Linked DNA regions of Nothobranchius furzeri. The protein of the gene in region 1 purifies or fractionates together with the protein of each later gene. This does not show direct contact. Links are inferred from orthologs where the notes say so. Each region holds a gene or a part of one and is shown in the gene's direction. Other genes may lie near its edges.

Region 1 (9,813 bases):
GTGTGCGCTGTAACTCTGGCCAGCTCCGAATTTATTCGTCATTGGCACATCCGGGTATTCTTTCTCTTTTTTTTTCTTTTTTGATTGACAGTTTCCATAGCAACAAGCTAGAGCATCGCCATTTTGTCAGGAGGGTTTTTTTCCCCCCCAGCTCAGTCTTTTCAAATGTTCTCCCTTCCCGCCGGAATAATGCTGTCAGTGGATATATTTTTGACGTTTTTGGATATCGAGATGCGTCTAGTGGATCGGATTATTAAGAAGACAAAGAGCCCGACGTTTTAACCTAGTTGAAATAATTAGGCGGTGCCGCACTAACTCAGTTGTCCGTGTCTCTGGTCCACCGGGCCGGTTCACTGCGCAGGTTTGGACCGCGCGCCATTTTGTGAAAATTGACACAAAATTCCAAACCAAAATTTATCAGAGGACACGGCTTCTGCTTAGTGTTTAAAATGCACTAGATGTAATCGCGTTGTCGCCGCTCATCGAGGTGACCGACATTTCAGTCGCAAAGACGAGCGTTAAATCAGAATTTGGCATAACGTTTATTTAGCGGTGGCTAGAATCGTTAGCTTCAGGCTAAGTCAAAGGAGCTAGCTGATGTTAGCTGCCTTCATTTTGTGAACCAGCTAAGGTTAGCCAGTAAGTTACCCGTGCTAGTTAGCATGTTGTTGGTCATCAGCTGATAGTAACGTTTGATGAAATTACTTCGATCACGGATGTTGCTCAGCAAGGCTTGGACAATGAAGCGCGTACTAGATGTGACTGGTGAGTTATTTTAGCCGGCCAGAGGACGGGGGATTGGATTTACTCGCTAACCGTGCAGGGAGGTGGAGAATCAAGCTGGATAAGTTTCCTCATCATACAGGTTATTGGACTTTAAATGAAGATCGTGCCATTAGAGGTAAGCAGATCCAAACTGTTCTATTTCACATTTGCGTTAATTTGGCTTTTCTCGTACGTATATATGTCCCATGTAGCGTGAATGGTTAACAATGATGGAGGCGGTAGTGAAGTTGTGGCGGCTAAGAGATTTTGTGGAGCCAGGGTTAACGTTTGCTTACAGTCAGTAGGTCAAGAGACGGGTTTTAATGCTGAACGTGAAGGAATTTCCAGCTGACTGTGAGTTTGGACGGAGAGTCGTGATGGCACGGTGTTAATGTTCCTGCTAACCGTGCTATATTGGGTCCTGTCATTGTATGATTGAAGCCGTGTTAGCTTACCTCCCCGATTTGATCTACTGCATGGGCCTCATAGCCCGCTGGCTGCACACAGCGTCACTAGCTAACGTCGGGCTGGTGAGAGATATGCTCATCTGCCCCGCAGTTTTCAGGGTAACGACGACAGCGTTATAGCTAGTTAGTCCGCTAGCGGTAACGTGACGGGGAATATCATCTATTTGAGGATTTGGACTGCCTCACGAACAATATGTAAGCAAGAGAAGACGAAAATTAACACTGAATATGCTTTCTAAATTCCAACCATGACGAGATCTACCTTATCATCTGTAAGTACAGACCGACTCGGTATATATTTATTCCCCGCGAACGTTTAGCATTTAATTGTTTTGGATCGGTTATGTTTGATCCATCTTTGGAATGAATCTAATCAGTTGGGCGTGAGAGGATGACACACGGGGCTTGTTACAGAGATCTTTAAGCATCCTTTTGTACGATTCGGCTTCTAATATCAAGCTAGCTGTCGATATATTTACACATAAATAGGCCCACAGATGCCATAATGACCAGAGCCAAGAAAGGAACTGTTCATTTCTTAGTACTGAAGAATAAGATAAAGCAGACGTTTAGGAAAAGACTAAAGAGCTACAAGTGTGCTAAAAATTGGCATTTTGTACCACTATTATTTTACTTGTATTACAATTAGTTTAAACGTTTTAAATAAAATCAAGTCTCAAGACTGTCTAATAGAAGTAAAGCACTCTCAAACTAGTTACTTCCCTCCAGTTCTTTGTAAAATTACATAGTCCTGTACACTAAATATAGTTGTGTTCAGACGAACAGTTGTCTATTTTATTGGTGTATATTTAAAGCTAAAATTCTCGTTTAAATAACATTTTTACCCTAGAGTATACTAAAAGAAGCTAAAGCCTCAAGGCCCACAACAATGTGAATTCTGATTTGTTTAATTTATTTTTTTAACCGTTTTACAGCTTTGCGATTGAATTTTAATTCATTAAAATCTCAAGCAGCTCATAGTTAAAACCTGAAATTTAAAACTTTTAACACACATTTTTAAAATATGCTTTAAGTTGTTTTATTTCCACAGCATTCACATCCAGCTCACTTTTACAAGTTTTTGGGGGTCCCTTATCATCTTTGGTGGCCATCTGTCACTGATTCTTAACTCAGGTTTAATCTCAGTGATGTTAAATCCCACCCAAAATGCAAAATTATAATAAAGTGTTTTTATTCTTTGTAGTGGGTTGTGGTTTGCTGCTGGACTCTCCTCCCAGGATGATATGAAATTAAACAGAAGATGCATCCAGGTTAGCAGCTGTACATTAGGCTTTAACCCTTTGCTGGGGAAAACTAGTTCACTTATGATCTTTTCTAACTTATGTTGCTGTTTTGAATTTGGCCTCAAGACTTAACATCTATGAGTCATCATGAGCAGGACCAAGTCACACAATCTGAACTGCCCGGGACTGTAGTTATTATTTTTAAATTGTTGATGGTAGTTTTTATTTAGTTATTTAGGTTATAATGGTAACATTTATTTTACACAGCAGGATAAACAGTAACAAAGACATGATGGATAATAAGGATATATTTAGAGCTCATAAGATGAACAAATATTTAATATAATCTTAAGTGTAATTCACTTTTTAATTTGTTTAAATTACATTCTGAAAAGGTATAAATGTGTATTTTAACATATTTATAGTGGCTGAAAAAAGAGATGCGTCTTGGCTCTCAAATACCTTGTTGTCTGTGCTCTATCACTTTACAGTTCCTCTTGTTTCTGTCAGTGGATGTGTATTTTCTGCTTTTCCAAAGCTGGGTCAGCTTTCTAACGCTCTCAGATGAAGTGCAGGTTTTAGGCTGTGCAGCTATTTTACTGTCAAGCTCTTGTGTTGAAAGCAACGTCTAAGTGTGCCAAAGTTCAGTTTTATTTCTTGTTTATTTCTTGTTTTCTCATTGGAAAATGGGAGCAGCTCTGCCCTGGCAACAAAAGTAGGCTATTTGCATACTGCGTTGTGATTGGTCTGTGCATTGATGGGCTTGCCAAATCACGCTGTATCTCTGTGGTGATAGGCTATGCTAATTAGGTGCTGTTGCTGGGATTCTGAATAGTGGTTACTGTGTAGCGCTGGTGAATTGTGTTGTCTGGTGAGAGATGCTGATAGCTGAACATGCTATTTAATAATTTTTTGATTCCTTCTGGCTTAAAATGAAGGATGATTCACTGTACAGTGTGGAGATGCTGTATTCTCGCCCCTTCTCACTGTTAAACCTACCGTTTTCTCCCTTTTCTTCACAAAGGTTGATACATTGCTGCTGTTTTATTTTTGCTGTCCTTTTCATGCAATTTAGATTTGGTTAACATGTTCATTAAAATGCAATATCTAAACATTAATTCAGATACTGTGCCTTTTTTTCCTAACATGGATTTATTAAAGACCTGTCTTATTTTAACATGCATGTTATAAATAAATATATTTTATTCATAATGAAAATTGCGCATTTTTGTAAAGGTGTAAAGGGTTTTTGTTGCTTTTTTGAAATAGTAAAAATGAGAAGTTTATATTAAATCTGTACAGTCTGAATGACACTTATTTTAACTGTAATGCAAAAAATGTTTAGCATGAAAATGAGAATATAACATACCATTTTTTTATAAACTTTTTCTTTCTTAATGTTATTTGTCAGTTTATATATTGGGGATTGAAGTGAAAGTACATTCCCTAACATTGTTCTTTTCTCTTAGGAGGAGAGACTTCAGCATGCAAACCTTCGTCCGTCCGGCTTGCGCCCTCTTTTTCTTTACACACTGCTGGTCTTCAGATGGCTGCTCCAATGCCCCATACGCACCAGCAGTACAGTGACCGCCACCAGCCAAGCACTGACCAATCTGTTACAGTCTTACCGTACAGCGACCAGACACCACAGCTCACTGCCAATCAGGTATACGAACCCCACCACATAGCTCCTCAAGGTTTTACAGTTTTGGGTCCAATATCAAAGCCTACTTCCCTTTTTCTACTGTCACTAGGCAGAGCAGCTACATGTCAAATGTCACTTTCAGTTTAATCACGTCTTGTTAACCATCATTACTTGCAATGATTCAAGAGGATGCTGTTTCTTATGAAATTGCCGTGTGTTTTTTTGTTCATGAATACTTTACCTGTGACACTCCAGAGGCACATGCCCCAGTGCTTTCGTGACCCAACTTCAGCTCCCCTGAGGAAGCTCTCCATCGACCTTATCAAAACATACAAACACATCAATGAGGTTTGTTTTTTTAGTTTGTTTTGATGCATTTAAATCTAAACTAATTATTTACTTTAGCAGCTGAAAGAGTTAACCAGCTATACTTTTAATCATATTGGATATGCTTACAATTAAAGTTACTGCAGCTTTTTTTTTAAATGTCTTTTAGATTTTTACTTTTGCTGAGACGAAACAAAATGCAACATGTTTTAATTTACTGCATTTTTATTGAATAAAACAAAGTCATGTTGGTGAGATCATGATAAAATAATCCATTAGAAGATTCAACTTAACAAAGATCATTGTGTGTTTCATTAGCTCGTCAAAGACTTGTGTGTGTGGTTATGGGATGTAATGTGTTAACTTACAGGTGTATTATGCAAAAAAGAAGCGACGGCACCAACAGGGTCAGGGTGAAGACTCCAGTCATAAAAAGGAGAGGAAAGTGTTCAATGATGGCTATGACGATGATAACTATGACTACATCGTCAAGAATGGGGAGAAATGGATGGACCGCTATGAAATTGATTCCTTGATAGGAAAAGGATCGTTTGGACAGGTGCTTCACTATCAGTTCCACTCAAACGTTTATTTGATTCATAAGAATACAATGTTCTTTCTAAAAGTATTAACCAGCATTTCTGTACATTTTCTTTTGTGATTATTGACCCTAAACGTTAATATCAAAACTAATCCGTAAAAACTTCATGCTGAGCAAACTGTAAACTGTTTGTCGTTGGCGTGTTTAGGTTGTGAAAGCGTATGACCGAGTCGAGCAGGAATGGGTTGCCATTAAGATCATCAAGAACAAGAAAGCTTTCCTCAATCAAGCCCAGATAGAAGTGCGCCTCTTGGAGTTGATGAACAAACATGATACCGAGATGAAATACTACATTGGTAATCCACTCTTGAAATTAGCATCTAATCTGATCAGAAAAATAAAAGGCCAGGGGGTTTGTTACTGACTAACATGGACATAATTTGCTTTTTCTGCAGTTCATTTAAAGCGACACTTCATGTTTCGGAACCACCTCTGCCTCGTGTTCGAGATGCTGTCGTATAACTTATACGACCTGCTCCGAAATACCAACTTCCGCGGAGTCTCGCTCAATCTCACCCGGAAGTTTGCCCAGCAGCTATGCACGGCGCTACTCTTCCTGGCCACGCCTGAGCTCAGCATCATCCACTGTGACCTGAAGCCCGAGAACATCCTCCTCTGTAACCCAAAGAGGAGTGCCATCAAAATAGTGGACTTTGGCAGTTCATGCCAACTGGGACAAAGGGTAATTAGCAGCAGTATTTCTCATCAGCTATGAGTCAGTTGGGTGCAATAAAGTCAATAAGTAACTGTTTGTGGGTTATTTATTTATTTTTTTTACGTTTTTTTATTTTTTTTAATTTGTCCCTTATGTGTGTTTTGTGTATAGATATACCAGTATATCCAGAGTCGCTTCTACCGTTCCCCAGAAGTGCTGCTGGGAATGCCCTATGACCTGGCCATCGATATGTGGTCCTTGGGTTGCATCTTGGTGGAGATGCACACTGGAGAGCCTCTCTTTAGTGGAGCCAATGAGGTATAACAATCTGAAACATTAGCTAGGTGGTCATATTTCAGTGAAGGATGACAAATGCTTTCATCTTGTGTCTGCATTTTAAATCTGATTGTGTAACCATTGGAGATAGAAAAGAAGACTTCATAACCTTAAAACATTCTGAACCATTTGGTTTTTTAGATGATGTATTTTACAGCATTTATTGTGTATAAAGAAGTAACACGATTTGCTCACCTCCTCAGGTGGATCAGATGAACAAAATAGTTGAGGTTCTTGGGATCCCGCCTAATCACATAATGGACCTAGCCCCCAAAGCCAGGAAGTTCTTCGAGAAGCTTTCTGATGGTACATGGAGTGTTAAGAAGACCAAAGATGGCAAAAGGGTGACTTCTCTCTCTTGTGTGCATGTGGACCACTGAATATAATGAAAGGTACTTTTTGGTAATTATAACTGACATGCTGGTGAATATTTTATTTGTACTTTTACAGTATAAGCCTCCAGCTTCGCGGAAACTCCACTCTATCCTGGGTGTGGAGACAGGGGGTCCCGGTGGCCGACGGGCGGGGGAGTCCGGCCATGCTGTTGCTGACTACTTGAAGTTCAAGGACCTGATCCTTCGGATGTTGGACTATGACCCTAAGAGTCGCATCCAGCCCTACTATGCCCTGCAGCACAGCTTCTTCAAGAAGACTGCTGATGAGGGGACCAATACAAGCAGTAGTGTGTCTACAAGCCCCGCATTAGAGCAGTCACAGTCTTCTGGAACCACCTCCAGCACCTCCTCTAGTTCAGGTACTCGTCACACAGAGCAAATCAACTGTTTTACATCACTTCAGCTGTGTTAGAAGCCTGTAAAACACACAGTTGTGGAGCTCTGCCTCTATGAGCTTAAGCTGAGGTTGATGTAGCATTTGACATGAAGCTAATGAAGATGTACTTGTGTCACTTCTACTTAACCCGTAGGAGGATCATCTGGGACCAGCACCAGTGGCAGAGCGAGATCAGACCCGACCCATCACCACTTGCACAGTGGAGGACACTTTGGCACGACGATGCCTGCAATCGATGGTGACAGCCTCTGTCCACAGGTCAGCAAGTTGAAATCTGCGAACACGTGGTTAATGTTGTGTGGGAAAGTGTTTGTCTTCACTTGCACCGAACCTTTTAGATACTTTTTATTTACTTAAAGTATTTCACACCTGGCTCATTTTATTTATTTGGCTCTTACAGGCGAGGCAGCCTTACCCGCCCCCGCTGGTGTGGGGAGGTGGCGTTGGACCTGAGTCAGTCACTGGAGAAACCCACCCAGTTCAGGAGACCACCTTCCATGTTCCCCCCCAGCACCCTAAGGCCCTGCATCCCCACTCACACACTCATCACCACCATGGGCAAATGATGGCTACTCGTCCACGTCCACGCCACTACACCTCCCCGACACACAGCTCTTCAACACAGGACTCCATGGAGGTGGTTCATGGCCATCTGTCCATGACCTCCCTGTCTTCCTCTGCCTCCTCTTCCTCTACATCATCCTCTTCCACTGGTAACCATGGCAACCAGGCCTACCAGCTCCGCCATTTACCCGCTGGAGCCCTTGACTTTGGTCAGAATGGTGGGCTGAGCATGGGGCTAGGTGCCTTCTCGAACCCACGGCAGGAGACTGGCATGGCAGCGCACCCTGCATTCTCCATGGGCACGAACACAGGGCCTGCCCATTACCTAGCGGAAGGTCACCTGGGCATGAGGCAGGGCATGGACCGGGAGGAGTCTCCAATGACTGGAGTATGTGTGCAGCAGAGTTCTATGGCCAGCTCGTGACTGCACTGACATTTGGCTGTGTGTTCCCCCTGTGCGTCATTTTTAAGGTGGTGTTTTTTACTACAAGGTGTGTTGAGATCAAAAGCTGCTCACGTCAGAAGGGAGATATCACTGAACCGCTACTACAGAGAAAAACCTTTGTTAAAAGTATATATGTAATTTTTATCAGTTTTTTCTTTTGCAATCATTAGGCACAAAATAATACTGCAGAATAACCATAGTGAGATTGAGACATCCATCTTACCATTTCACCAGTTTCATGTAACCACGAAGTAATCACCATATGGTATTATGTGGCAAAACCTTCTAAGGAGCGTTTCAGAGCAAAGTTTGAAGCTGATCTGCAGCGAGCTGTTGGTGATGAAATGCTTGGTGTCCTTTAGGTTCAAACCGTGGAGCGCCTGACATTATTGTTCCACTGGTTGGTAATTAATTTTGCCCTCTTTTTTTTTTTTTTTTTTTGTGAAATTTCACATCAGAGCTGCTTGTAAATCCTGTAGCTTGACAACGAGGGGAAGTGTTTGCAGTGATATTTCTTGTTGTTGGTCGGTTTTGTGTGACTCTGTTAAAGGGGAGCACATAGCAGTGGAGTCCCTATGCGTGTGCTGGCCGGGTGGAAAGAAGACCCCGTAGGTGGATGCTGACACCAACCGGGTTAAAGGAGAGGGAAGCACCACCCCGTAGGCCTAGAGGTCCTGTGGTCCTGCAAGCTGCAACCGGGCCCGGCACAGGCGAGAGCAGCGATGGGCGTGGGAGACGAAAGGATCCGGCCCAGGGAAAGGAAGACAAGTCAGTGGCTGGTTCTAGATAATCCTTTGGCCTTATGACTCATGGACTTGGAATGGAATGGAGATGGACATTATCATTCGAATTAAGATGGCTTTTCTCTATTTTTCTCTCTAGACAGCCCTTAATTCTTTAAGGAAATTAAAACAATGTAGAAATGGTAAATAAGAATGGTAATTTGAGGCCTTTCTTGACAAAGATTTCGTCTTCAGCAGGGCCCCACATAACAGGGTCTTATTGTACACAACAACCTCCTAAACATTACTTCCTTGAAATTCACTGGTTAAGGATTTTGCAGTGGAAAGAACTATCTATTCCAGAGTCTACCCTTTTATGTTTTTATTTTCCCCCCTTTTGCATGTAGTCCCTCATCAGAACCACCTGCACAAGTCTCTCCATCTAAAACAAGGAAACTGAAGAAAAAAAAAAGAGTTAAGTGACTGCCTTTTTTCTCCTCAAATTATGCTGTGAATTTTACAAGAATTTATTTTCCCTTTGGATATGTTTTTATACCAAAGCAGTTGTTTTATAGCATATAGGTGTCTGTAACCAATAATGTAGCAGTTCACCACTTTGACGCAAACTTTATCAAGATCTTATTTTAACGTCAACACAAACAGCTGCAATATATTCCTTTAGCAAAACTGGAGACCGTTGTCGAGATCGTTGGCTGTTGTGTATTCTGGCCAGACTTGTTTGCAACGTTTTACCAAAACTGTTTCCATATTAATTGGTAGATTATTTTGGGAGTCTTTTAAAACTTCAGTATGTTTAGAAAATTTGGTAGTTACTCTGCAGGCTCCGGAGTAGCGAGATAGAGGCTGATGGTTTTAAACGAAAAAAGGAGACTAATGCGTTCTATTTCTGTCATCGTTTTCTTTCTTTTTTTTTTTTTTTTTCATTTTTGTTTATTTCCCCTCTCCCCCTCCCCTCCCCCCATCATACTATTTCAAAGGGTGTTGCTGCCTTTCATACATCATTTGGTCAACTAAGCTAGTTTCTGCCGTGAAGTGAAGCAAGACTTTGTCGTTGCCTTGCCAGGGTAAGAAGAACTGGCGAACCGGTTTGTGTTTAACGGTATAGTTCTGATTTTGGCAGGACGAATCCCTGTGATTGTCGTCCTTTTCAAAGGTAAAGGGTGTTTCGTCAGTCCACCTTAGCAGTGCTTTCGCCTAGGCAGACATGCATGTCCTCAAAACATTTAGTC
Region 2 (11,023 bases), on another chromosome or scaffold:
GACTTTGTTCTTCTTTATCGTCAGCAGCCACAAAAGCTCCTTCAGTGTAGAAATGTTTATGCTACGTCAGAGTCCTGAGCCTTACCTCACCGCTCACATTCACAAATCAATCCCAGAGCATCAGCGCTCCCAGGAATCTTAGCAGTGCAGAGAGAAGACCTCACAGGGACTCAGAGGGTTTTACAAAGTCTTATTTTATATTCATTATTGGCTGAAACTCTTAGAATGATCTCAGCGGTTCAACAAACAGTGTAATTAAATATTTCTTTGCTTGTGTTTTCATACAGAACCTGAAACAATGAGCATCTTAGAACGAAGACAGAACAGAGCAGCTCTCACGTTTAAACGGTGTTGACCCTTTCACTCTGATGTCGGGCTGGAAATTAGAGAAGGAACTCTGACCCATCTCCAGCTGCAGGTTACTACAGGAAAAGGTGTCTTACCACAATAAATACTATTGCTTAAAGGAAACAGAACAAGACCTAAACACTGAGTTCAATCATCTAAAATAATTAAAAATGTGGAGAAAATTTCTTTATTAAGGTAAATCCAACTATTCTGAAAATTTAATACTTTGAATAAAATCCTGGAAATGAATTCTAAATATTTAGAAAAATGTTTTTTTCTACATAAACACCATTTTGAATAAATAAAACTGTTGAAAATGTTGAATTTCAAATATAAATGTGGTGATTTGAAACTAACGTGTAAATTCAGACTGTAACACCACAGGAGTACCCCCCCAGGTGTCACGTTGTGGGATGGAGGAGTTGGACTCATGTGCAGATACCAGAACGGAGAGGATGTTAGAGAAAACCTTTATTAAGAATGATTTAGCCAAAAAAAAACAGAACCTAAGAGGGCACAAAACCAGAAACCTAGAGACAGGGGAGGGAGGGGGGAGAGGACAATGTTGACAAGGACAATGGACCAACAACACATTGAGACAGGGTTTTATACACGGGGGCAGGATGATTGGGAGATGAGCTGCAGGTGCGTGGGGAGAGAGAAACCTGGTGAAATCCATCTACTAATCAGGGAGAGGAAATTAAGCTGAAGAGGGCTGAAAGATAGACTGTAAACTCTGATCCACACTCCGGAACAGTGGGGGCGGTGATGCACCTTTCAGTTGGTTGCCGGCCGCCGTAAAACTCTTAAGAAGAAGAAGCTGAAGAGGGGAAATAAAACATGACCTATAAATAAGACTAGAAGAACAAGATAAATAACTAATGATCTAAGGAGGAAAGGAGAACCAATAAACCAGTGAGGAAGGACCTAGAAGAAAACCTGAACCGAAGAAACTACAGGAAAAAATTAGCTTGATAATATAAATACAAAAAAGGGGGCACAGGAACCTCAGGGGAGAACCTGGAGGGGGGTTGGAGAACACATGAGGGGGATGCAGACCATGGCACCAGGTTAGGGTTGGTTAATACCTGCAGAAGAACCGCTGATTATCAGCTTTAATGATCAACACTCAGTCAAATACAGAAGTTCAGCACTTCTCTTTCCTCGATGCTCTGGCTCGCGATGACACTTTGCACACCTGTTATTTCTGCAAGACGCACATGACTGCAGCAACAAGTGATGATCAAGAGAACGGGTGAGACGAGGAGACGCAGCACCACACGGGAATTATGGGCATTATTGCATTCATTTAGGTTGATCCGGCTTGTTTTGGTGATTGTGTTTCTGATTAGCTCCAAGCTGTAGATGGTTTACCGACAAATGTGCTCTGCACTCAAAGTCCAGAGCGGACATAGTCAACAGGTCTGGAGACAGTAAAGAGGAACCATATGGCTTTAAAGGGGTGGGGAAGTTGTACCTTCCTCAAAGGCACTGCTGACTGGTCCCTCTGATAAATGCACCGAGCTGTGATTGGTCCCTCAGTGGACGAGCTTTTAACTTCTCTAAAAAGGATTAGTTAGTGTGAGAAGTGTGTCAGCTGAGAGACTCACTTGCTGTTTGATGTTCAGGAGACATCCGTCCCTGTGAGAGCTGACGTGTGACTGGACGATGATGATAAATAGCTTTAATGAGATCCGTCAGATTATCTGGATAGCATGTGATTAGCTTCAGGTGCCTGAGATAAACCACAGAAATACAACAAAATGACATCTGATTCCATGCTTTTGTTCTTTTTAAACACAGAAACAGTTTTGTTTACCTGTTTTGTAGCTACAGATAAACGGAGAAGGAAGTGACGCGCCACCATCAGCGTCAGCCTGAAGAAGCCGGCAGCCGTCGGCGAAACTGTAGCTACAAAACAGGTAAACAAAACTGTTTCTGTGTTTAAAAAGAACGAAAGCATGGAATTAGAACCACGACACAGCAAGAACACACCTAAGATGTTCAAAATGACATCTGATCTGGTCAGGGTCGCCTGCTTGGTTTGGTCCCATGTGTAGAGCTCCGTTATGGTCCAAGTCCTGACCTGGACTAGTGTGGAGTCTTTCCGCTTTACCGCACCGCTGGAAAACACACTGAGCAACCATCAAACGTGTTCATTATGGTTGCGTGATGGTGGATTAGAGGCTGGACACACGTGCTGTTTATAACTAAGCTAATACTGACTTGGCCCACTTAAATCCAGTGTTATAAGTTTCTTATACAAGCGTGTATTCTGGAGAAATTACAACTACTCAGCTAACAGAGTTAACCAAAGTTAGACTGTTAATGTGAGCTAGCTGGATTAACAAATGTTCCATGTAGCTCTATTGGATTCTCGATCACCGTGCAACTCATTTACGATGAGTTGTCAAGCCTTTTGACATTTTTTAAACTATGCAAATGACACAAACCTAACAACACAATCATTTGAAGCTTTTAAATTTTTATACCCCAGATTTTAACCTCCTGAGACCAAAAGTTGCATTTGGTTTGATGTAAAAGAAAAAACATATCTAGCTATTACAGATCAGTCGACTGTAATTAACAGAAACAAAGTTACAACGATTTTAATTCAATAAATAAAAATGTTTTCAAATATACTAAAAAAAAGAGACAACAAAAAGAAATTTAAATTAAAGTCATATAAAGTGTCTTTAAATAATAACAAAAAGGTCTAAGTAGAAGAGAATAAGCATTTTTAGTGCAAGGAGCCAATGTCCATGCGTGTGGACACAGGGTCCTAGGAGGTTAGGACACATTTAAAACTTCAGCCCACAATGAATCTTGGGATAAGGAGGGCCAAGAAGGATGCACTAGTCCCATCGTTCAAATCACAAGGATGCATTGAAGGACAGCAGTAGGCCCCGACCAGAGAATTCTACTGTTGTGTCCTTGGGCAAGACACTTAACCCGTCTTTCCTGCTGGTGGTGGTCGGAGGGACCGGTGGCGCATGTGCTCTGCAGCCTCGCCTATGTCAGTGCGCCCCAAGGCAGCTGTGGCTGCATCGTAGCTCATCACCACCAGCGTGTGAATGACTGATTCTGTAGTGAAGCGCCTTGGGGGGTTGTAGAACCCTAAGACGGCGCTATACAAATACAGACCATTTACCAAGGAGCCTCAGAATTTGGACGACCTTTGTTGCATCTCTGTGACGTAATCGGCTTTTGAAGGATGCAGCCCTTAAATTTGACCAACATTAGTTGTTGCTTCCATCTTGGATTAGATTGACTCCAAACTGAAGAGGTAGGACTGGACTGGTGAGCCAACACCGGACTATCACTACCAAAACATGCCACAACACAAAACAGCGTCTCAGTTTAATGTCCCTGTCTGAAGTGATGCTGGAGTTATTATAGGTGGAGCTTTGTGTTTGTTGGGTCTTTAAAGCTCCAGAGTGAAATCACCATAACTTCACCGGCCCCTGCCTGGAAGAGGATTGTGGGACATCTTTTACCAGAGCCATGTGCTTCAAATGGACTTTCAGTTAACTCTTGGAACATGAGACTGCAGTCAGAGCGAGGAGCAGAGCAGATAGCTCAGCAAAAGTTTAGTTATGCCGTGTTGCTGCGATTGTGGCTGAAACTCAGATCAGATCTGATCCGTTACAGGAAGAGCTGAACGTTTGCAGGGCAGACTTTTTTTTTATTAGCGACTGGGATGTTTTTCACCACTTCCTGGTGTCTCTGAACTCTGAGGTCAGCCTTTGGGTGTCTTACTCTGGCTCCAGATAAGGATCAAAGACAGATCAATATTTATCTGCTAACGGGTCCTACGGGACCCTCTAAGCCTTGTTAAGATCACACAGCCTGATTCAGTCATTTGTTGGCTCACATCTGCTGATGTTACTCTGAGGAGCACAGACTGCGTGCAAAGTTCACCAGAGCTGTGTTTCAACTAAAATATCAAAATGCCTCAAAAACACAGAGCAACAAAAGCGTTTGCTTTTGTCTAGTTGTGTGAAAACAACCGATGAAGAAAAAAGTTAAAACAGAAGCTGACTGACCAAATTTTACCTTCAGAGTTTCTTTAACCCTTCATGGCTACAATCATTCAAACCTGATGGAAATTCCTCAGATATTTTGAGCCACATCGACATGAAAGCATTTAGAGACACATGTTACAGATGTTTCCTTGCACACCTGTTTCAATAGTCACCTGTTCAGCATGTCCTCAAGTTCTCCAGAAGCTAATTATCCAACGATTCAAATCAGGCGTGTTGGACCAGCCCCCTGTATGTTTTACATGTTTCCCTGCTCCAACACACCTGATTCAATAATTTAATCAGCTGTTCAGCATGTCTTCAAGTTCTCCAGAGGCCTGATAATCATCCATTGACTCACACCAGGTGTGCTGGTGCAGGGAAACAGTTTCCACGTGCGCCTAAATGCACCGAATGGCAGCTGTGTGGTTTTAGCATGCGTTTGAACATATTTCTGAAATAAAGAAGATATTGAGTGTAAGTTGCCTGAGTACGTCCAGGAGCGGCCACATCCTGTTTTAGCCTCAAACACAAGATGTTTGCAGAGTTAGGAAAGGCATCGGATCTAGAAGAGATTGTTATTTACTGTAAAGTACATGCATAACAACAAATAGAAACAAAGGAAAACGTGCTGTATCTATTCTGGGTCATAGCGTGACTCTGGCTTTTGGATTCAATTACAGATATGTGGAATATGTAAACTAGTCTGTGTGGATCGGGCCTTAATGATTTCCATTCCTTACATTTGTTACTATTCAAACATGAAGCTCTACTGTTGTTGCGTGAAAAACAAACATCATGTGAGTTGCATGTTTACATACTGACTGGTTCTTTGCGGTTACTCTGCCTAGAGTCCAGTTAAATTTAGCAGTGCAGAAATGAGTACTAGTTGGACTTCTGATGCAACACTCCTGCGGAGGGATCCGATCAGCGGCAGCAGGACGGCGGAGCTTCGTCCTGTTGCTAGGATACCAACGCGGAGGGTGGCGCACTCCAAATGAAACTGGCGTCCGGCGGCGGACATTGTGGCGCTTTGCGTTCCCTGTCATCAAGGAACGACCCTTCACTGGCTGGAGCCCGAATGTCGTCGGCTTCGCTCGACGCTGGTGAAGAAGCGCTAGACGTGAAAACAGCGCCATTTCTGTCGGCGTCCATGATACGCGCTGCTGCCGCAGCGGATTCCAGAGCTTGAGCTCGGAACGGCAGCGGGAGAGAAACAGCCGCTCCCTTTTCGCTGCTCCTCTCCACTTCAGGCCACGGCAGGTAAGAGCCGGCATGGGGCTTCTGGTCCGCATTTGCGAGCCCCAGCTCTCGTTTTGGTGTAATGTTGAATTTGTTTACGGTCTCGCCGTATCGACATGGCGCACATTTTCAGGGGGGAAAAACGCCTGACAGTCCTCTGGTACCGGGTTGCCGCTGTTCCTCCCCCTTCGGTCACAACAACAAGCGGAGCTCCGTGAAAGCTAATATTAGCTATGGTTCAAACCCCGACACATTCCTGCGCTGTTCTGCTTGGTCGTAAGGCGCGATCATGTGGTTTGTTTGGGGCTGCGCGTTCGGCCCAACACCGCCGGGCTCTGTCGTCTTTTAGTGCATCGTCGGATCTCTGATGCAGCGCAGAAGCCTCCGGTCACCTGTCCGTCACAACACCGCGGAGTGTGACTAATGTCAGCAGAAACAGGGAAAACGACCTGGCTAAACCCGCGAGCCTCGGTGCAGCTTCACGTTAAGAGCCCCCGTTAGATAACCGTGACGAAAGGGTCAAACATCAGTGTCAGAAAACGGAACAGCTCAGGGAAGCTAATCGGCTAAGCTAGCTCGTCAGCTAAAGGTCGGTGGTCCAGCTAGCCTGCAGAATGAGCCAAAATAGTTCCGCCCCAAGTTTAAAACCCCCATTAGACTGCAACTGTTACACAATCTCACCGGTGTCGCAGCTGTATGTGTAAACAGCTACATTATTGGTTTAAATACATGTATTAATATTAACCAATGTCATGTTATTTTTTCCTGCTTTCCACCTTTCACTGCGAGGCTGAAGCAGATGTAACGGCCACTCGTAGGCGGAGAGGAGCTCATTGAATGAAGTTGTCGGTGAGAGGATCTCCGCGGTGGCTAATCCAAGACAACAGCTGGCTGGGAAAGCTGGTCAGCCATATTTAGCGTCTGCCCGGCCAACCCGACAGGGCTCGGTTCTGACCAGGGACGGACTGGGACTAAAAAACAGTCCTGGACTTTGACTAGGCCCGGCCCAAAGTAATCGGCGCGCGGAAATTCAGCAGCAAAAAAATGTGGTCAAACCATCGAAATTATAGCAACAGCGCTAATGTTGACTATGTTGTATTAAAAGCTGTATTACTGATAAGCTTAATTTGTGCAGTAATTAATCTTCTTACTGCACAAATAATACCACATCTAAATGAAAATGCAACATTATAAATGTAACTTCTATATTTAAGATTTTCAAAGTTTGTGAGCAGTACTTGAACACTACTACCAACCTTTTTTACGTAAAACCACAACATACTTCTTATCACCCACTGCATGTGTCCTTTTACAGCTAAAATGTTGAAATTTGGCTGTTATCATGAAATAAAATAGCAACCTAAACATGAATTCCTAACATCAATCCTTGCAAATGTTTCTCCTCATACATTCCATTCTTACTTCCCCTGGATCTGCCTGTGGAACCAGCGCCTCATTACTGCTGGCATGTTGCTGTGTAGCTATCTGCCTGACTTCTTCACTGCTGTGAACCTGCTGCGAGGTGCTGCTGCTGGCTGTGCGTCTAAATATGTTGGTTAATTTGTGACATTTAGAGGCTTCAGCATCTAATGCCCACCTTAGCCCCACCCTTTTCTTTCCTTATTTTTTATTTTTATACTAGCGGCTGGTGTCTGTACAGGATCCGCTCGGGTGCAAGATCGGCTCAGGGTCCGTCGACTGCCGATGACGTCAAAGTAGTTGATTGGCTGAACATGAACCTTACAGAATTACGTAATCACATTACGTTGGTCCAGGCAAGAAAGATGGACGACTTTTACAAAGAAATCCATCATTACCTCTTTGAAAATACACTTTTAGCATAGAGCTGCATGTATATTAGGGCTGAACGATTACTGCATGTGCAATTAAATTGCGATGTGACAAAAGGGGATTTTCTAATCGCAAAGGCTGCAATTTGGCAGCGATTGGTTAGCGCAATGCTAATATACATGGAAAAACCCATAGGAATGCTAATGCTAACATCACCGATTACATTCTTACAAATTATGAATTAGAAACGTGCCAAATGATTACATTTGGAGTCTAATAGAAAGTAAAACTACCATCAATCAAATAAGTACAGACAGGTATTTTAGTAAATGCAGAAAACTTTTAACTCCAGAGTTTTGGCTAGCAGCTATGAGCGTAACTGAACTACGGACAAGACATGGACATGGACAAGACGTCAACAACTCTAAACACAAAATACTTCAATAAACGGGACACACTTCTTTCCTGCAAACACAATTTCACAGGTGTTGCTAATACCTATGATCCTTCAAGGGATGTGCTCAAAGAGGAGTTCAACATTATAAAGGTAAAGTCCCATTAGTTGTCACACACAGGTGTGTGTGCGAAATTTATTCTCCGCATTTGACCCATCCCCTGGGGGAGCGGTGAGCTGCAGACAAGCTGCGCTCGGGAATACAATATAGTGTTTTATTTTACAAATACCATTGTAAACACAAACTTGCGTCTAAAGAAACATTATTTTAATATTGAAACTGCTCAATTCTTTCCAACAGTATAGATGTGTAGTGTATTTTGTCCAAGTGGGTTTGCCGTACTTTGACGTCATCGGCAGTCGAAGGACCCAGAGCCGATCCTGTATCGACACCGGGTTTTGCATCGTTTTTTTCTACTGCCTTTGCCTCCTCTCCGCTTCAGCTTCTTCTTCTCCTTGCCTGGCGGCCACAGCCAATGTAGCTGGCATCCAACTTAGAGGTGCAGTGCTGCCACCTAGAGTGCAGGAGCGTGAAGGAACTTTGGGGGGGGGGACAGGTGTTGAAAGCATGCGTGGAGAGTGGTGGGCCATTCCACCGACCGTTCTGTGATTCTCCAGAATCCACAGATGGCCAGTCTGCCCCTGGTTCTGACCCGCAGGTAAACGTGATGAAGCAGTGTCGGGCAGCGCACCGGTAAAGCTGTTTATCCTGTCCTTTCACTCTGAAATGACGCCACAGAATGACGCTCCGGTCAGCCAATCACGTCCCCGCAGCCTACATTTGCTCTGCACGCCGGTGACCGGATTCTGGTATCCGGGAGACACGCATGGCTTCATCTGCCCCCTCACAGCTGATTTTTAAATGACGTAGGTGTTGTAGTTTGTTACGTCATAGACATCCGTGGTAGTTCAGGGGTCTGCAGCTGCCAAAGAGACACCTGTCCTATCATTTATAATCGATTATGTTTTACAGCTGAAGTCGCATTTGGATCTAAGAATGACAGTAGACTGGTTTAATCTGACCCCAGAGCCAGAAGCAGGTGAATCAGGTGTTTTCACGGTTCTTTAAGTGCTGGACTGTTTCACACTGAAACTCATCATCACTATGGCACTGAGACGATGAAAGGAAACAATCTTTTAAAAATAATTTTCTCATTTTTATGAATCGGCCTGGAAAATTCTCCTTTAATTACATCCCATAATCATCATCACCACTCACTGGTGATATTACAGCTACGCATTTGACCCGTCCACATGGGGGGCGGTGAGCTGCGGCTGTGCTCAGGAAATAACTGGTGGTTTAACCCCCCCAATACAAACACTTGAAGCTGAGTGTCAAGCAGAGAGGCATTGCGTCCCATTTTTAAAGTCTTTGGTAAGACCCGACCAGGATTTGAACCCCGATGTCCCAGAGCAGACGCTCCACCACTAGGCCACTGAGCAGGGGCGTTAAAAGTTTCAGTTGGATTTGGACAAAGGCTTAAAAACCCTGAACAGATTTCTCTATCAAGCGTTTTTCATTAATCGACCTGAGCTTAAGTGCATTTTTTAAAAATTGGAAAGGTCAGACTGTATAAACATAAAACAAATGGTGACTAATAGTTCAGGAATAGGTCCTCTGTTAATAAAGGCTGAAAATGGTACTGCTTAATGTTTTGAAACTAACCTCCACGGGGCGTTTAGAGGTGTGCAGAATGAAGGTACAGTGTTTCCTTTAAAAGACCTATTTTAATTAAAATTAAATCAAATATTTATTCTGACGGGCACAGCCCTGGGTGTATGTTTGCATCTACCAGCCAGTAGAGGGCACCATTGTGTTGCCAAACAGGTCGCTCGGCACAGCTCTGTGGAAAACAGCAGACCTGAGCCCAGAGGATGTTATCGTTCTCAGAAGAGGAGCGACCATAAAAGATCTAAAACCAGAGTGAGTCTAGGTGAAGCCTTCCACAGATGGACCCAAATGAAACATTTCACATACCAGCAGTGAAGCCGCTGTCCTGACGGCTGGAAACGTTGTTCTGCTGTTGCAACTGCAGCCTCCTTAAGCTAGATGCTGCTGTGGTGTTCATGTTTTATACTCCACCTTTAAATGATTAGGAATTCATTTCTGTTAAAGTTTAAACAAAAAGATTTCCTAAATGAAAGCAGAACTGGAGTCAGAATGCAACGTTACTGAGCAGAAAGCAGATGTCCATTCACATATTAAAGGTGCATCATGCGGAAATGAAGTAAAAATGACATCCTGGGGTTACTGCAACCACTTTAACCAACACTTTGGGTGCTGAAGCATGAGCTCGCAGCAGACACGGCACCCCCACACTCACTGATGGTTAACAGTCGTTACGTCCCTCCTTCCTTTGTTCTGAAAAGAGGAACTGACCACAGCTAGCTGGATATGAAACATGCTCCTGCTGAAACGACAGAAACTTCTGGGATTATCTCACTGTAAAATCCTCTCTATATTCTTACATACTGCACCTTTAAACTGTTCAGATCTTAACTTCTAATGTGTTCCACGTTCTGGAACTTCTCAGGGTTCTCGAATCACACAGATTATTTATAAATATTTATTTCATGAAGTATTTGATATGTCTGGTTTTATTAGCATCACAGTGACGCACTTGAACTGAGGCGCGCTTGTTTTGTGTTCCAGGTTGTGCCGGTGAAGTCAGACAGTCCCAAGATGGACCCCGCTGACTAAACACGACGGGAACACGTCTGGAGTTCTGCTCGGCAGCTGAGATCTTTCAGCAGCATAAGCCATGCCTTATGAGTAAAATCACCTTTTTTTGCTTTAAGCAATAAAAAGAAAAAAAAATCCTCCCCATGTAGAACCCCTTCAGTCCGTCCTGCTGGAGTGACAGCCCCCTCATCCAGATAGGTTCTGCCTCGCCGCTCCTCTCCACCCACCGCCCTACAGGAACTACTGTCACCATGCTTCTCTGCCTGAGAATGGCCAACACCTGAGGTCCCATGCGTCCAGTGAGCACCGATTCAGACGGTCCTGCTCCTCCTGAGAACCTGTCCTGCCCCTACCCCCTCGCGGGGCCCCTTCCTGCCTCAGAGATGTCCCTGCTTCAGTCGCTGGGTCCAGTTCAGAGCTGGCTTGGCCAGGAGCTGGAGAAGTGCGGGATTGATGCCATGATTTACACCCGCTACGTTCTCA
Region 3 (10,470 bases), on another chromosome or scaffold:
TAACGTTAAAGTACCACCCCTAATATATATATACAGTATATATAAATCAAAGGTTACAACAGCTAAGCTCCTGGGAGGTTAATAAAATGTGAATTTGATTGCAGCATCTGTTCTTGTGTGAATATTTTCAGGCGTGAGCAGCGACCGTACCATTACACTGATCCCAGTCCAGCCGTGTGACTCTTCTGGCGTCGTCACAGCTCAGTTTCTGCTGACCGCCTCTCCGAGCCGGAACTTCACTGCTGCCTCGACCTCTGACCCTCAGATGGGGAACGGGCGGCCTCGATGCACCGGGTCAATCGCTCTGTTCTTCAGGAAGGTGAGAAAGATTTTCACTTGTTTATTTAAAAAAATAAACGATGATTGTTTATCTTCTGCTGGACATTTGTCTTTCCTCTGACTAACTCTCTCTCTCTGTCTCCCCCTCCCTCCAGGTGTATCACCTGGCCAGTGTACGCCTGAGGGATTTGTGCCTGAAGTTGGAAATCTCCTCAGAGCTGCGAGGAAAAATCTGGACATGTTTTGAGCACGCGCTGGTTCACTGCACTGAGCTGATGAAGGATCGACATCTCGACCAGCTGCTGCTGTGCAGCATTTATATAATATCCAAAGTAAGAACGATAACTAAGAGTTAACGAAGCAGCTGTGTAGGAAAATGCCAGCCAGCAGAGTGTTTCACTGAACAGCAGCTTCTGCGCGATCGTAGAGAAACTATTTGCAACACGTTAACGAACCAAGAACCAAACGTCTTCTCAGGCTGAATGAAGTCAGCCGAACACACAACTAGTCAGACTGAGGACTCTGGGATTCACTTTAATGATGAGGAGATCCAAACAGTGGTTATATGACGAACAACATCAGCCAGTCTGGGCTCCTTTTTGCCAGTGAGTTTCTGCTGTCAGTTTAAAAGCCTCCACTAAAATATTACAGACCAAAAATGTGTATTGGTTAATAAAAGCGAGCTGTCCTTGATGCCCTGGGTGCAACTTCCTGTTATCAAACATAGAAAAGCTGCTCGTTTTATAGATTTTATGAATTAAAAGGATTCTGCTCTCTGTGGTTATGCTAAAAATCCTGGCAGGTCGGTTATTGGATCAGCTGGTGTAACTTATGTTCCTTTAAGCACGGCTTTAATGCTCTCCTCTCAGATCACCAAAGAGACTCACACCTTCCAGGACATCATGAAGTGTTACCGCAGCCAGCCCCAAGCCAGCAGCCATGTGAGAAACACAAAAACCGCTGAAATCTAAGTTACACCTCGCATCTGCTGGAGGCTTACGCTGTCTGTGTGATCAGGTTTACCGCAGCGTCTTGTTACGGCGGACTCCCAAAGCGCAGCCAGCTGACGAGAACATGGAGGTGGATGCTGTGTCGGGTGGAGAATGTAAGATCAGACACACGCTTCCATACAAACACATTTAGATCTCCTCTAAAGGCATTTTAGCCAAAAATATAGGTCAATTTTTTTTTTTTTTTTATTTAGCTAGAAAACTGATGTTTGCCTCTTCAGACTAAATACATAAACATTAACAAATGATTTTCCAGGTTTGGCCAGCAAAGTTCATCAGGGTTCATCATGAACGTCGCATAAAATAATACATAGATGACTGATTAGACCAGGGGTCGGCAACCTGTTCCCATCAAAGAGCCATTATTACCCGTTTCCCACAGTAAAGAAAACACGGAGCCACAGCAGCCGCGACGTTGTGGGCGGGGCCTACCCTCAGACAGCAGAGAGCTGCTTTAACCAATCACAACAGGTGACAGCAGCCAGTACCGGTCGCTCGTGTACATAAAAGCTGTCTTTCATAAGAAGATAATCAATAAAATGATTTATATAAAATGGATCCAGAAGTTGTAGCCCGTCTCTGCCTACAGTATTTTGATATTTTTCACCCTGTTGGTGGTTTTACTGAGCAGGTGCCACTTTTGTTGTACGTTTCTTTTTAAAACATGTTTAGACTGTTCAGAATACAAATCCAGGCTCTGTCACGTTTGATTGTTGTAATTAAACTTTGTAGGTGGGGAAGGTCAGAAAAGGATCCGATCAATTTGTTTTCCCCTCATTTACAGTGACGGAGATAACGGCGCAGTGCGCCTGGCTCTGGTGTTAATCAAGTTAAATTTGTAACAATTTTCACCAGAAAACAGAACAGTTAAAAGCAGGGCTTGTGTTGTGTTGACCGGACAGTTTCCGTATTTGGCCGTTTGTTTGACGGAGAAAGAATAGAAAGAATTACCCCAACGCATGCAGACGAACTGACATTTTATTCGTTAGGCACATCACAGATGTAGCTAAATCACTCAAGAAAAGATTCCCATCTGAACATCTGAGCTGGACTCTTAGAAAATGTTCCCTGATGATGAAACTTTGGCTGAATAGCGTTTGTTCCTGTCTCCAGTGTGGCGACACATCCAGGGGCCGTCTGAGGAGAAGCCCAGAATCTCACATTGTCTTCAGCTCAGAATGCGCCTATATGATTACGCACAAGCGTGACCCGTCAACCCGGTCTCACAGTAAGACCGGGTTGGACCTGTTCAGGTTTACGCAGACAATCTTTACATTTATAATTGGCATACAGATGTAAAATTAATGCAGTAAAATATAAAGCTTTTTATTTAAATATCCATTCATTATTTTACAAGCACAGAGAGCCGCATCAGATGGATGGAAGAGCCGCGGGTTGCCGACCCCTGGCTTAGACTGTGGCTGTATATTATGTATTCACTTTAGTTTGAGTAAGATGAAAATTAAATAAATAAAAATGCATTTAAAAAATACATTTTTGAGTATAAAGTTAATTCCAGCATTTATAAGAACCACCATCAAAGTTAAAGTTTTATTTTCCCTAAATGAGTTTATTTGTTTTTTCAGCTGCAGAGAAAACCAGTCAGGCTGGAGGTGACACCAACTCCAGCCAATCACAAGAGGAGGAACGCGGTGACCTCATTCAGTTTTATAACACCACTTTCATCCTGAAGATGAAGAGCTTCGCTCTGAGATACGCCACCAACGATAATCGGGTACAACATCGTCACAGCGTTCGTTCTGCTCTAACAATGTGCCTCTGGGCTGAGGCTGCGGTGTCTCTAATTCATTCTTGGTGTGACTTTGTTGGATCCTCCAGGCAGACGCTCCTCCTCTGTCTCCGTTCCCGTCGGTCCGAGCTCAGCCTCTGTCTCCTCGCCGAGTCAGTCAGAGACACTCGCTGTACGTGTCCCCTCACAAGAATTCCTCTGGTTGTCTCACACCGAGCTCCTTCACCTACAGGATCAACAGCAGCCCCTCCAAGGCAAGTATAAACACACACACACACACACACACTGTGAGCTACTTAAAGCTTACGTCTTGTTTCAAGCTGATTAATGATTTTTTTAAACAGCACATTATTAAAATAAAATCTAGAATTTCAGTTCATTTGAAGAAAAAAGTTAAATTCCTTAAAGGTGTGGAACTCTGAAAAACCATTTTTAATAATTATCTCTGATTCTAATGGGTCACTCTGAGTTTTTCATGCAGGCTGAACATGAAAATAGTCTCCTACACCTATCTCCTGCATTAGCTTCTGATGGAAAACAGACGGTGAAACTCTAGGATTAGAAAATCCTGACAGATCTACGCCACACTGTCACTAACCTTCGTGGACTCACCCATCTTGACCGTATATTTATGTCGATGATCTTGACTCATAACGGGAAAGGCTGTTGTTGGTTTAACGTCCAGGAATCAGCAGAGCGCATCTTGGCTGGTAGACGCATTTCTGCCATTTCGTTAGCATTAGCAACTCTCTGCTGCAGCAGACTTGGTGCTGATCCAAGCATTTCTGGGCTTTTTTTGCCCGGAGTACGGCTTGCAAGGCATTAATTCCTACCAGAGACCATTGTGGGCTGCATGGTGACGCAGTGGTTAGCACTGTTGCCTCGCAGCACGAAGGTTGCAGGTTCGAAACTCCGCTGCGGCCTTTCTGCGTGGAGTTGCGTGTTCTCCCCATGCATGCGTGGGTTTCCTCCGGGTACTCCGGTTTCCCCCACAGATCACAACATGCCCTATAGGTTTGAAATTGTAAGTCGCTTTGGATAAAAGCATCTGCTAAATGAATAAACATAAACATAATCTGTAAATGTATTGATTAAATGAGTGAACCACTCCTTTAAATTGAAAGAAATTAAGATTATTTCTGCTATAAACCTCTGTCAACAACCAGCTGGAGACACAAATTAGGGGAAAAAACTGGAAGCTTATTTTAGTTGGACTCGCGCTGAATCGGTAATAATACTAAACAGTAAATCCCATTTATGGCCCAGTTTCTGACGTGACTGAACTGAAAAGCGTTGGAGTTTTCCAATCCTTGCAACAATTCTGAACTATTTTAAGGGGAAATTTAGTAAATGATTTATTTTTAATATTTAGAAAATCCCAGCAGCATGACTGTGAGGTTCTGTAACTCGAGCAAGAAAACCAAAGATTGTTGCCGACATTTGCAGCCCAGTAAGATTAAGGCATTAAAAAAAAAACACTTATTTCATAAATTTTAGAAAAACTGGGAAAGCCTAACTGTTGTCTCCTCTGTAGGACCTGTCAGACATTAACCGGATGATCCGACAGGGATGTGTGAACAGGAAAAGGGCGTTCAACATGGAAGGGGATGTGATGATGTCACCAATGTGCGACTCGCCCAGTAAGCGGGCGTGTCCGGAGAACGGCAGCAGTCCAGACGTTCTGCTGAAGCGTCTGCAGGACGTCGTGTCCGAGCGGCAGAGTCACTGATGAAACCAACAAACTGAAATACTCAGAGGGAAGCCGCGAGCCGATCTAATCCTGACACGACTTTCTGCTGCAACCTGCAGGTCCTTAGAGACCAGGTGGTGTGGTTTAGGTTTCTATATAACACAAAGCAGATTTTAATTTAACCATGACTTCAAAGTTCTGACTGTTACCAGGAGCATGATCACAGAAACCACAAGTCAGAGCAGTCACCAGAACATTTAATCCATCCTAAAAACTGATATATGCTCATTTTTACTCTTTTATTGTTTTTTTAATACAGTTTTATGTTTTTTTAATCTCCTCGCAGCCCAGAACAGTAAAACTCCACATGCTTTTGAACCTTCCTGATTTTTCTGCAGCATTTCTGATGTGTTTGTTAAAAACAAAGAACGGTGTCAAAGAGAATATTCACCTCTTGGTTTATTAAAAGGAATGAACGATATCAGGTTTATTTGAAAGGTCCACAAACATGTGAAGTGTTTTATGGAGTTTTACTTTTGTTATTTAGTTTGTTAAATAGTTCAGTGTTATTGTGTTTTATATGTTCTAAACGCGGTTTTAAACCATAAATGTTGTGGAATGCTGTCAGAAAATATTCTTAATGCTAACTATAAATTTACTGTGTGTGTGTGTGTGTGTGTGTGTGTGTGTGGTATCTACACACATTTTATAACAAATCAAAAATTTTACAGCATTTGTTCTGATTAACAGAATCACTGTTGAGGCTTTTCTGATTCTTGTAATAACATCGCTGGTGAAAACGAACCATTTGAACACTTGATTATCAGCTTTGGTACCTTGTAAAGTAGGTTAAAACACACTTTTGTGTAAACTGAAATTGAATCAAAAGCGTGTACTAATGTCTGAATCTTCTCAGAACTTGAACATCAAGGTGTTTCTATAAACTGTTCAGTTTTGTAAAATAAAATGTAAATATCAACTGTTCAAAGAGTTGTTGTCCCTCATTTACCCACCCAGACTATTAAAGCTTTAATATGGAGTTTTCCCCCTTCAGGAATTATGTATGATTTTCTAGAAATCTGTAAGAGCGATCGTCTTATCTTCTGAACTCTACAATTGTGTTTCAATAAAGTTCTCATTAAAAAAAAATCCTGCGGTGGATTGTACCATTACTTAGGAAAGGGAAGGGGGCAGTCCAAACGTGTCCAGCCAGGTTAAAAACAAGAAAATAAAACGGAAGCTTGTTTGTTCTTTAAGATTTTGTTTTACTAAAATCCATTACATAAAAATGCTGACAAAACAAAACAAAGATAAGAAATTCTTATGAACTTCCGCCTGGATGCTAGTGACGTCATCGTGCCAGTTCCATCAGGATGAACCATAGACTGTACATGATGAACTGATTTCGGACCAGCTAACCGTTTACCTTCACCCGGGATCCTTGAATGTCTCTTAAACGCTCTTCGTTTTACATGAACACACACGAAGACATTTAGGACAGTAAATCGTCTCGTAGCTCCGTTTGATGGTTAGCTTGTTTTGAAACTTCCGTTTAGCCGGTGCTATTTAGTCGTAAGTTTAGCTAACTTTTGAAATTAAGTTTGTTAGCTCTTTTCCTCTTACTAAATCACAGCTAACAAGCTTTTTTGTCTGTATAATCGTGTTGAAACCGCCTAGTTATTTGCTAGCCACCATATGTGTCAGTTGTGTTGATATAATGACATTAGGCGATGAGTAAAGTTAACAGATGGATAATATTCAGCAAAAAAAAGACATCTTAATTTGCAGTTTAAAGCTAAATAACTTTTGATAGAATATAACTTGTTTGGAATGGTTGCAGGATGACGAAGTTTTTAGTTTCATCTGAACAAAATCACAGTGGAACAGACAAGACCAACTTATAAATAGTATAAAAACCTGTCACAGGAGCCGGTGGGAGAAAGCCACATACCAGCTGTCAGCACGGTGGTGGAGGGTTGATGGTTTGGGCTCATTCTGTAGCTATGAATATCAATCTGTCTGAAAGCTGAAGCTTAGACCCATCTTGGATTTATTTTTAAGATCTGCTGAGGATCAAAGGCTTTTTCAAAACCTTTTGTTCTGATGTTAAAACTTATCTTAGAAAAAAAATGTTGTTTTTACCAAAACTGTAACCTTGAAATGTTTTTATTTTCACCAGCATGGAGTTGAGCAGCTTGGTAGATGACTGTTTATCTCCTGAGTCAACCGTGACCTCCCTTCTGTCGAGCTCAGGTCACCTGAGGAGCAGCCTGAGGCCTCCTGAACACGACACAACCATCAGATATCGAGACAAGGTTCATGTTCTGCTCTTATTGCCTCTCACAGAGTCTTCTGTGTTGGTTTTGTTGCAGCAGCCAAGCTGGTATTCTAATAAACAATGACTTTATTCTTTATACAAGTTTGAAAATCCATCCATCCATCTATTTTTGTCCACATATCCAGGATTGGGTCACGGGGCAGCAGCTTAAGCAGAGAGGCACAGACTTCCCTCTTTCCAGCCACTTTGGCCTGCTCCTTTGAGGAAATCCCAAGGCGTTCCCTGGCCATCTGAGAAACTTAGTCCCTCTAGCATGTCCTGGATCTCTCTTTAGGTCTCCTCTTGGTTGGACCTCACCAGTGAGGCATCCAGGGTTAGGGTTAGGCAAGGCTAACCCGAGCCATCTTAGCTGGCTCCTTTCCATGTGGAAAATTAAATTCTGATAAAATCACAATTCATTACTAATTGTTATATTCAGCCCATTTGGAATTCTATTTCACTTAACTTAAATAAAAGCAGGAATTATTTTTTCTTCTTGATTTTTTTAAAGTAATTCTTGTCATGTTAGTAACATTGTATTCACTCTAGTTTTGTAATATATGCAAGTATTCTGATGTTGTTGGGAAAAGGGAAACCTTAACATTGATAATTATTGATCGATTGTTGGCAGGACTATGACTCAGCCTCAGCAGCACTGGACGCCTACATCTCAGACTTTGACAGGAGTTGTCAGAAATGCAGGTCGCTAACAGGAAGTCTGGTTCTTCACAATGGGCCCTACACACCAACCAAACCCAGAGTGGGTTCACTCAGAAACCGAGACGGTAGGACACAGCTTAGAGCCATTCTAAGCGGTTTGATATTAAATAATAAAAATGCACAATGTCTTATTTAAGGTCACAGATCACTTTATACAAAGTGAGGTCCTCGTAGTAGCTTGTGCCACACAGAATTCATGTTCTTCTTGTTTTGTTGTTAAATTTGGATAAAGTTTTTGTTTTTATCTGCAGTTCTCAGAGAGCGTTTGACAGACAGGGAGCTGGACTTCCTGAACCTCCCTGTGAGCTCCCTCCATCACCGTAGTAACCGTGACAGATACTCCATGACAACTAACGAACTGTTGTCCATCCCTTACGATGGGTCCATGCCTGTTACTCACACATCTGCCTTCGTACAAGGTGATAACATCCTCTTCATTTTTTCTGTCTGAGGAATGAAAAACGTATCTTTAACATTTTCTTACATTCATCTTTGACACATAAATAAATGCTGATGGTTAAACTTTATAGTTTTTATTTAAAATAAATTGTGGTTCTTTATTCTTGTTATTCATCTAAATCTTAAAGGTGGGGAACACTGAAAAAAATGTTTTAGTGATTATTTCTGATTCTAACAGTTTTTCATGCAGGCTGAACATGAAAATAGTCTCCTACACTTATCTCCTGCATTAGCTTCTGATAGAAAACAGACTGTGAAACTCTAGGATTAGAAAATCCTGACAGATCTACGTCACACTGTCACCTAACATTCATGGACTCACCCATCTTGACTTACGAAGGGGAAGGCTGTTTTTGGTTTAGCGTCCAGGAAACAACAGAGAACGTCTCAGCTAGTAGAAGCTAACGGGGACAGCTGTAGCTCAGGAGGTAGAGTGTGTTGTCCAGTAATCAGAAAGTTGCAGGTTCGATCCCGGCTCCGACCAGAGACTGCTGCTGCTGTGTCCTTGGGCAAGACACTTAACCCTCCTTGCCTGCTGGTGGTGGTCGGAGGGACCGGTGGCGCCTGTGTTCAGCAGCCTCACCCCTGTCAGTGTGCTCCAGGGCATCTTTAGCTACAACGTAGCTCATCCCCACCAGTGTGTGAGTGTGTGTGTGAATCGATGAATGACTGATTGTGTTGTGAGGCGCCTTGGGGGTTGTAGAACCCCAAGAAGGTGCTATACAGGACATTTTATTATTTTTTTACCGTTAGCATTAGCAACTCTACCACTCAGCAGAACTCCTCCAGTCTTGTGTTTGTGGAGATAAAACATCAACGCTGCAGAGCAAACAGAGTCAGTGGTAGAGTTGCGTTGCTGTTAGCCAATCAGAGGAGAGATTTCAGGAAATAACACTCTAAATCCTGTCATCTGAAGCACAGCTCTGATGTGGCTGATATCTACTTCCTCAAACAGGCGCACTGGAGCTTTGTTTCCCCAGAGTAAAACTTACAAGGCATTCATTCCTACTAGAGACCACTGCAGATGTATTGATTAAATGGTGAACCACATCAGTTTGATTTATGAACCTTTTTTTCTATAAATATTTGATGTTACTTGAAACAAAAGACAAAAAGCTAATGAAAGCAGTAAAAGCCTTAATTTCTGTTTGTGCATCTTTGTTTCTCTAATTTCAGGCCTCCCATCTTGGTCTGAAGCCCCTCGGTCCTTCTCCCCTACCTTCAGACCTGCACACAGAACCAGCGCAGGACTCGATAACCGGGCTGCTCCCTTCCACCTGAACCAGACCTCTGATCCCATCAGACCTCCCAGCAGCTCCAGGTTTGTTTTTTCTGTTGATGAAACATGATTCCTCTGTTATGAGTAAGGTGTATTTATTATGTCTACTTATTCACTCATGTTTCCACATGAATTAAGAGCTGTAGAACTGGCGAGTGTTCATTTTAAGGAATAAAGAGAGAAAAGACTGAGTAATAGATTTATTTAGTTGATCAGATGACTCGTTTAAGAAAGTTTTACCACACTCTAAATTGCTTTATGACTGATATGTACCATCTAATAGTAGTTCCACCTTTAACTTAGCAAACAGAAAGTCTCCGAATTGTTTCTGTAGACATTAAAATGGAGTTTATGTTTCTGTAGTTTTCTTATATTCTCATGTGGTGGAATCCTATGTTTAGTATTTAAAATGAACTTTTCTCCTCTTCAGGTGCAGAGGGAGAGCAGCCATGTTGAACCCAGCTGCTGTTGCCTCATCTGTATGTTGTTGTTATCAGCTGGGCTCATGATTAGTTAATGTAATAAACCTCATTAGCTCCTCTTTCTGTCAGTCTGCACACAGAGCTGCAGACCTCCACATCCCTCACTGGCTCACCAGTAACAAAGCTGAGCTGAACTGTTCTGAGATCAGCAGCCTGCCTGATTTGAAGTACCCGGCCTGGATCCGACGCTGTGATGTCAGCGAACCGGACCTGTGGGACGAGCGCGGTACGACACCACTCACTTCTCACTGGTGATCGGAGGAAGCTCGAAGAACAATGTGACTGAATAACTAACAGTCTGATGAAAACATTATTGCATCTCTGATATTTTAAAATGTCTCAAAACGCTGTTTGTGATTTTGTTTTTGATGGATATGCTCAGCTGGTAAGGATGCTACCATTTTGTTTGGAAACTATTAGCTGTAAATTTAGGGTTTGGGATCAAATTTGTCATAATTGTTCACTTTTTAAACCCATTTTGATT

What was found.
Region 2: the proteins of dyrk1ab (region 1) and kiaa0232 purify together in Homo sapiens (affinity purification with mass spectrometry; 3 studies listed by BioGRID and IntAct, with this or other methods). This does not show direct contact. The link is inferred for Nothobranchius furzeri from reciprocal best matches to the Homo sapiens genes DYRK1A and KIAA0232.
Region 3: the proteins of dyrk1ab (region 1) and rbl1 purify together in Homo sapiens (affinity purification with mass spectrometry; 3 studies listed by BioGRID and IntAct, with this or other methods). This does not show direct contact. The link is inferred for Nothobranchius furzeri from reciprocal best matches to the Homo sapiens genes DYRK1A and RBL1.

The regions. Positions count from the first base shown.
Region 1 is NC_091753.1:50,167,509-50,177,321, forward strand, and holds dyrk1ab (dual-specificity tyrosine-(Y)-phosphorylation regulated kinase 1A, b), read left to right. Parts: upstream 1-763; 5' UTR 764-901; intron 902-1,344; exon of another isoform or gene 1,345-1,504; intron 1,505-2,436; 5' UTR 2,437-2,493; coding exon 2,494-2,503; intron 2,504-3,945; coding exon 3,946-4,142; intron 4,143-4,376; coding exon 4,377-4,469; intron 4,470-4,818; coding exon 4,819-5,007; intron 5,008-5,197; coding exon 5,198-5,345; intron 5,346-5,444; coding exon 5,445-5,731; intron 5,732-5,875; coding exon 5,876-6,022; intron 6,023-6,243; coding exon 6,244-6,384; intron 6,385-6,490; coding exon 6,491-6,794; intron 6,795-6,965; coding exon 6,966-7,090; intron 7,091-7,232; coding exon 7,233-7,820; 3' UTR 7,821-8,043; downstream 8,044-9,813. UniProt on the Homo sapiens protein: Dual-specificity kinase which possesses both serine/threonine and tyrosine kinase activities. Exhibits a substrate preference for proline at position P+1 and arginine at position P-3.
Region 2 is NC_091754.1:63,556,908-63,567,930, reverse strand, and holds the start of kiaa0232 (uncharacterized protein KIAA0232 homolog), read left to right. Parts: upstream 1-5,359; 5' UTR 5,360-5,633; intron 5,634-10,510; 5' UTR 10,511-10,830; coding exon 10,831-11,023.
Region 3 is NC_091743.1:73,517,383-73,527,852, reverse strand, and holds the end of rbl1 (retinoblastoma-like protein 1), read left to right. Parts: intron 1-131; coding exon 132-319; intron 320-434; coding exon 435-611; intron 612-1,148; coding exon 1,149-1,220; intron 1,221-1,296; coding exon 1,297-1,384; intron 1,385-2,875; coding exon 2,876-3,024; intron 3,025-3,128; coding exon 3,129-3,293; intron 3,294-4,411; coding exon of another isoform or gene 4,412-4,429; exon of another isoform or gene 4,430-4,497; intron 4,498-4,573; coding exon 4,574-4,768; 3' UTR 4,769-4,976; downstream 4,977-10,470. Other genes in the region: c3h18orf54 (lung adenoma susceptibility protein 2), read left to right, coding at 6,910-7,044, 7,678-7,831, 8,018-8,185, 9,402-9,546, 9,935-9,983, 10,056-10,212. UniProt on the Homo sapiens protein: Key regulator of entry into cell division. Directly involved in heterochromatin formation by maintaining overall chromatin structure and, in particular, that of constitutive heterochromatin by stabilizing histone methylation.